Caenorhabditis elegans: one gene and its partner. The protein of the gene in region 1 purifies or fractionates together with the protein of each later gene. This does not show direct contact. Each region holds a gene or a part of one and is shown on either strand. Other genes may lie near its edges.

Region 1 (3,754 bases):
TTAGTGTAATGAGCAATCGATAGTTTAGCCATTTTTGCAACTGCCGCCAAACACTGAAAAATTATGGATAAACTCTAAAAGAATATATAAAATTATTATAAGAGCGCAGAAAAATGCACCTTTTGATATCGCTCCGCCCCCAAAATTAAGGTCCCGTTAGGTATTAGCGGCAAAACCAGAAATTCAAACGTTTAAACGTTTTCAAGTATTTTTCCGTTGTCTTTAATGATTTTTCCGTCATAAGGAAATTTAAAAAACTCATTTAGACATAAAACAAAATCAAGATGGACGGAAAATGACTGGAAATGGGTGAAATCAGCAACAACAAAAATGTTTGCCGCCAATACCTATGGAGACCTAATGTTTGGAGGCGGAGCGCATTTCTCTTCGTCCCTATAATAAATTACCTCTTTTGGTTGCTTTGGATCCACTGCTTTGATGTATATTCTATCTAATTGAGCATAAAGTTCGAACATCACCCCAGCCACGTTCTGAATTTGTTGTTCGGGTTGTTCCAACAACTTGAGAGGATTCTCGAACAATGAGAAAATCTCAAAACAATCCTCCAAAACACCTTTACATTGTCTCAATTCGTCGACAAGAGGTTCGATTCGATCGTCCTTCAGATCTGCAATTTGTGGAAAGACATGTAAAATATCTCTCGCGCAGTGATAAGAAGCCAGCCATTCATTTGCACGGGATTGGGCAGGCGTTCTCGAGAGTTGCTCCGTGAGCTGAAAACATAGTAGAATCAGTGAAAGAACATATATATTTATCAAACTTTGTAAAGCCGGAGTTTGGAGGAAATCATTCCACAGATTTCTATTCCTTTTTCGATCACTTTCGCATGTGATTTTTCTGATGAAGTTATCGAACTTTTCCACGGTTTCAGTGGATCGAAAACTCTTTCTGCACATTTTTGAAGAGAATGATAGGCATACGGTGAATCTGAAAATTTTCCTTTTTTTTTAATCAAATCGAGAAAATCACAAGTTACAATTATCGAAATATTCCCCAAGTTTCAGCATATTCGTGGCACCTTCAGCGACAACTTTCAACTTCAGAACATGTTCTTTTGGGAGACCAACACGATCTGTCGCATGAAGAATGTAATCCAGTGTCTGAAAGTTATTCGTAATTAATTTTAAAAATAATATAACAGTAACCTTTTCGGTTATCTTCTTTTCAAAAAGAGGCGTGAATGCGAGAGGAATCACACGTAAACTGAAATATCCGCTCGATCTATTAGTATATGACACAAAAATCGAAAAAGTATCGTCCAGCTGTCGGCCATAGTCTAATATTAAGCATGCATCTCCTTTCGATACAGGATCTTTCAGCTCGGCTCCAATATTATCAAGATATTGACAGGATTTTTCTTTCATAGTTTTCCTGATCCATTCGCCAGAAAGAAATTGATGTTCGTCAACGTTAACATTCGGGTTTCTGAAATTTATTTTTTTTATATACGAAGTGGATACTTGTAATACCCAGTAATTATCATTGAAATGATGAATATTCTAAACTTTTCCGATTCGGCAATATTCAAGGAGACGCCGCTTTCAGTGACGAAATCAAGAATATGATTCTGGAGATTACCAACTACTTGTGGATCAAGCTTCGGTTTCTTTTCTGGTGGACCATTTAACGGCTTACAACGTTGGTTTTTATGGTTTCTGAAAATTCAAATTTTAATTAAAAAAATAAATTTGAAGTCTCCATACTTCATGTGGCCTCCTGTTCGTGCGCTTAGAAAACCAAAACAGTTTTTACATTGAACGAGATCGATTTTTTGTCCGTTTTCGTTCAAAATTTCGTCGAATGTCGGGCATCGATACACCTGAACTAATGAATTTGGACTTTAAAAACTTTAAATTATTCATTTACCACGCTATATTCTCCGCTTTCCAATTTCATTCGAACTTCTTCCTTTTTTCGATTTTTATCGTCTTTTGGTGGAGAAATCTCTTCTCGAGAAAACGCGTCTTTTAAAAATGAAATTCCTGGAACACCCTCGTCCCAATCGGTTTCCTCTATTTTAACCTCCATTTCGCCTGTAAAAATTTAGATTATTGAAGAAAAATTTAAAAATAAAAGTAAAAATATTTATTTAAGCAAATTAGCATAAATAATTAGTAGAAGGCCGCTGCGCGAGGAAATCTATAACATGCAGGTGCGCACACCAAACCTTCCATTTCACGCCGAAATGCAGACAACACGTAGGCAGGCAGGCATGAGGCACGATTTATTGATTTTAGTGCTAAAAGTTGAAAGTAATATTTGAATGGATTTGCCAATTTGATACTTCATTTGACAATTTTTTGAATTTCTACTCAACAATTTGGCTAAATTCCAGTAAAATACACCGTATTTGGTTTTTTTTAAACATTACTTGAACACTCCTGTAGTTTTTCTTTGAAAATTCGAATATAAAAGAAACATGAAATATTTATTGATCGAGGACTATTAGAACTGATTTGCAACGAGTTTGAATTTTTGAACAGAGCATTGAAAATGAAGGAGATCTAATGATGGATGGGCGAATCTCTTTTATTGATCTGGAATAAAAAGTAGTATTAACAGAAGGAACATGGGAAAATGTTGGCTTACACTTTCCACTAGAATTTTTCGCTGTCGTTGAAGAACATCGATTCGCTGGTTCAGGATGTGATGATCGGCAACAGGACAAGTACTTCGGACGATGACTCCGCGAGCACTAGCGGCCTGGAAACTGCGATTTGTGCACCAAAATATGGTATCTAGTCCCGAAACGACCGATTTTCTTAGATTCAAAAACAACTTGTGCCTTTGAGGAGGGAAATCAAATTGATTTTTCCTAGTTTGCATTCAAAATAATTTGATATATTATAGTTTCCCATGCTTTTCAGTGAATTTCAAACAAATTAGAAAATCCCGCAAAACGAAATATTTACGATCTACAGTACTCCTTAAAGGCGCACACACATTTGAACTGAACGAGACCAGATACCGTACTTTTTGAGGCGAAATTTGCAAAACTTGGTCAAACTTTCAAACCAAGTAGAATCAAGTACTAACATTTTCACTAATTTTCTCTTCCAGAGCCATTCGTTCAGTTTTCTCAAGAAGATATTCTTTCTGTGACTGTTTCCTTGCTTCCATCTCTTCCCTCAAAGCATCCTTGATGATCTTGTCAGCTTTTCGCATCTCACTTTCCACATTCTTCCGTTTGATCTTTTCTTTATTTGCTGCATCCTCCAAATGGTTGATCGTTTCAACTATCTCATTGAGCTTCTTTTTTCCATCAACGACCTCCGATTTCAGCAGTTTAATTTCATTTTCTCGCTTTTTCAATATTTCTTGTCCATAAGCTTTCAATTTATAGTATTTTTTGGTCCAATGCACAGTCTCTTTGCTCTTTTGATCGACTTTCTTTTTCAGTTCATCTCTTTCTTTCAGAATTAATTTCATTTCTTCTGAATTTTGATTCTGATCATCAAATGTCTTCTCATCGACCATTTCCATCAATTGGTGCAATTGTGCCTTCATCGCATCACACGTGGCAACTAATTGTTCGTAGACGTTTTTGTCGACAAGAATTGAGTTGTTTTCAAAGATTGTCTGATCCTGACTCTTGTCCAATTGACTAGCATTGAGCGTTTCAGAGCCAAAATTGAAGGACCTGTAATTATTTGTTTCGGTTCAGAATGGATAATTCCTCGATTTTTGCGCCAAAAATACGGTATCTGGTCTCGACACGACATATTTTTTTGAA
Region 2 (3,754 bases), 1.4 Mb from region 1:
AAAAGATCTCACTCAGTAAAAGTTGTGACGGGAAAATTCAAATTTTCAGAGTAGAAACTTTGGCGGAGAAATTTTTGGCGGGGAATTTGAATTTAAAAAAAACCAAACTGTAAAAACTATCAAAGTTAGAATGTGGAAATTTGTTTATACTTTTGGCCTAAAAAAGGCAACCTCAGTCACTTCTCGGAGGTAACTGTAATCTTTCACGCGTTGGTTCTAGCCCGTGGCCTAGAAAAAACTCGGCCACTGCCTACCCGCTCCACTACTCCCACGTGTCATAATAGGTGCTCATTGTCCATTTGCTCGTGTCAACCTCATCCATCCGCTCACCCCCCTCCACCTCAATCAATCTCCCTCAATTTGTCACCCCCACCCAAATACGGGACTAAATTAGTGTTCAGCGAGGAGATGAAGCTAGGGGAAGAAGTATTCTTGAATAATTATGTCCCTTCTCATCTCGGGCACACACACACCCATTTTTCTTACCATACGGATGATGACGTCCGGCGGCTGCTGCTGCTGCCGCTGCGGCCACCACACCCATCGGGTCATGATGCTGCTGCTCAAATGGAGGGGAAAATGAGGAAGCTCGAGATGCGGCGACCATCTCCACAAGTGATGGGACCTGGAAATGAGAATTCGAATTACGAGATGTTTTATGTGTTCGGATGGGGGGGGGGGGTGTGTCCTAGGTGATGGGGCTAAAGTAGATTTTATGCTCAACGTGGCCTAGGGACCCAAAACTAGGCCATAACAGTTTTGGGGTGTCAGGGAGGCTTTACTTAGAAACTAAGAGTTGCATCATCCTGGAGCTGTCCGGGGGTCTTCAGAGTTCGGCTAAAAGACTTTAGGGTGTCGAAAAAGTTTCAATGATATATTTTTTCAAATTTTTCTAGATTAAAAGAGGTAAAAACAACTTTTTTTATGTAAACAGTTTTTGATCTGAAAATAAAATCGACATTGTTTTACTAGACATAATTATTTTTCAACTACAATTGGAATTAATTTGAATACTAGAAATAACTGAAGTTTGGCTGTCAAAATAGATAATTTTCGGTAATTTCAACTTTTCAAAAAACGATTTTAATTTTTTTTTCTGTATTTCTTAAATCAAAATTTCAAAGTATTAATAAAAAAGAAAATAGTTTAAAGAATAATTTAAAAACTTCTAGCAAAACAGATTTTAAAAAATTAGAATTTAAATGTTTCAATAATTCAAATAACTATGCAACTATGCATTATAGCTGAGATTATGCAATATGACACTTTTTGATTATGCAACCTAATTAAATTGTCCATAACTCTGCAACTAATGCAGTTATCAAAAAGTTGACAACTAACAAATTATAGCTTAAAACATAATGAACAAATTGTTTGTTGAAAATTTTTTGCTTGCATTATTACAAACCAAGTTATAACCACTTTTAAACACTTTAAAAAAATTATCTTTTAAGCTTCAAACGCCCGATAATCTTGAAAATTGTGAAACTGAATGAAACTTTTACAGTTATCAAATAAAATTTTAGCAACATAAATCTTCTAAACTTTTATGATTAGATTAATAATTTTTCATTAAATTTTATTGCATGAAATTATATAATTTTTTATTTCTACCTATTACAGTTATCAAAAAAGTTGAAAAAATCCCTAAAAAACTACAAAAATTTAGAAACTTTAATTTTAATGGATCTTTGACAACAAGAAGTTTACAGACATTAAATAACAGTTCTACAAAAGTAAAAAACATGGTTCTCAAAACAAAATACAAAACAAAAAAATCTCACCTTATTAACCCCAATAAGGGACTCAATATCAAATGATTGCATGCTAATTTTTAAAATTTTTGATAGTTTTTTTTTCAAATAAAAGAACTTGAGTACTAAAACTCAAAGATAAAGGAAACAATAGAATAAGGCGCTGGGCGGGGCTCAACCTCTCGGTGACTACGGTGGATTTGGCCACGCCCCACGCTCAGATGAGAAGGGCGGCCAATAGAAGAGGGGAAGGAGTGCTGGAATAGAAAGAGACTTTAGATAATAATCTTTTTCCATGACGTTTGAAATTTAAAATACGGCAGATTTGGCATTTTTTTGGAAATTTAATATTAAGAGAAAATGTATTGCTTTTCAAAAACATCAGGTCATTTTTTTTTTCAAGTAAAACTTCAAAAAACCAATTAGTGGCCGAATTTTTGAGTTTTCCAGGCCACGTAACCAAGTAAAGGTTCTAGGGCCCTTACAATGAAGAATATTACACAATGATTAAAATTATTTTGCAGACAGTCTAATTTTTTTTCTAGACCATGTTTCCTAATACCCACGAGGTACCTGCGTGAAAGTTCCCCAATAACGGTTCTCAAAAAACTTCAGTATTCTAGGCCACGTGATCAAGCTAAAGTTCCCGGCCGTTACGATGAAATTCAAAATGAAAATTTTCGAAAATTTCACGGAGGTGGCCGAGGGTTCAAATTTTTTAGGCCACAAAGCAACTGGAGCCCCTTAGCTCATTCAATGTTTCATATTAATATACAAATTATTTTCTCTTTTACGGTGGCCTAATTTTGATTTTTCTAGGCCATGTGCTTAGCTAGGTGAAACGGATGAAAAAACTTATGTAAGTATTTTCAACATAAAAATTCAACATTCAAATTGACAGGTGGCCTAACTTGAATTTTCTAGGCCACTTTTGCCGAGCTCGGCAAATTCGGCAAATCTCTTTTTTCAATATTTGCCGAGCACGGCAAATTCGGCAAATTCGGCAAATTCGCCGTGCTTAACAAACTCGGAAAAATTTGATATTTTTTTATATTTTTTGGAGCACCAAAACTACTGAATTCTTAACACACATCTGGTTTCTGAATAAGTTCCGCGTAGAATGTCTGTTTAAGCATCAAAATAGCTCAATTTTGTATCATTTTACTAAATTTTTGGCTAAAAAATCAATAGTTTTAGTCAAAATTGTACTGTCAAATTTTTGACGTGTGCGGCAAATTTCGAAATTTGCCGAGCTTGGCAAATTCGGCAAATCTACTTTTTTGAAATTTGCCGAGCTCGGCAAACGGCAAATTCGGCAAATTTGCCGCACACCCCTGGTATGTATGATCTCACCGTTCTAATAGAAATTCAATTTTGCGAAATCAGAGTTTTGAAGTTTCTTGGGATTCCCATAACCTTTTTTTCAAAACTTTAAAAGCCATCTACACAATGGCCTAGTTTTTCTTAATTAGGCCACAAAGTCAGATGGAAACAAAAAAGTGTTCCTCCCCATCAAAAAGTGATGAAAGCCTCATCAAAAGTCATTAAGTGACATGACTAAGCAGCTCTTTTATTGTCATTGCATGTATCTCCCCTAAATGTTGCATCGGGAGAGAGAGAATGAATCATTCATCAGGCATTCCGCTCCCCCTTCTCTCTATTTCATTACTTTTTGGTATTGATACACTTGAATACATGTGGAAGACAATACAAAATGGTTTAATGTTTACTCTATTTGTAGGGCATGTCCCTTCAAAAGTTGAGTATAGGCAGTGTGCCTGAGAACACTGGAACTTCCGAACCAGGGGTGGGCCGCGGTTGCCGAAAATTTTAAAATTCGGCAATTTTGAAATTCCGACATTTTTTGTCCGATGGAGCGCGCTTTCATTGTTTTTTTTTCACTTTATCTCTTCATCAAGTTTTCCATCGCGCTCCATCTACTCAGAAAAGAGAAAAGACTTTAAAATCTAAAAACGTTCACTATTCTCAGTACTCACAAT

The links. The genes of interacting proteins can lie anywhere in the genome.
Region 2: the proteins of ZK1098.2 (region 1) and vab-7 fractionate together in Caenorhabditis elegans (co-fractionation; one large-scale study listed by BioGRID). This does not show direct contact.

What each region holds. Positions count from the first base shown.
Region 1 is NC_003281.10:9,527,461-9,531,214, reverse strand, and holds the start of ZK1098.2 (uncharacterized protein), read right to left. Parts: upstream 2,057-3,754; 5' UTR 2,050-2,056; coding exon 1,888-2,049; intron 1,841-1,887; coding exon 1,725-1,840; intron 1,677-1,724; coding exon 1,491-1,676; intron 1,447-1,490; coding exon 1,167-1,446; intron 1,122-1,166; coding exon 991-1,121; intron 949-990; coding exon 408-948; intron 54-407; coding exon 1-53. Other genes in the region: ZK1098.6 (uncharacterized protein), read right to left, coding at 2,526-2,558, 2,611-2,724, 3,058-3,661.
Region 2 is NC_003281.10:10,918,458-10,922,211, reverse strand, and holds the start of vab-7 (Homeobox protein vab-7), read right to left. Parts: upstream 1,869-3,754; 5' UTR 1,827-1,868; coding exon 1,785-1,826; intron 626-1,784; coding exon 487-625; intron 1-486. UniProt on the Caenorhabditis elegans protein: Transcription factor. Involved in motor neuron fate determination and maintenance, acting as a transcriptional repressor to counteract gene activation by transcription factor unc-3 in a subset of motor neurons.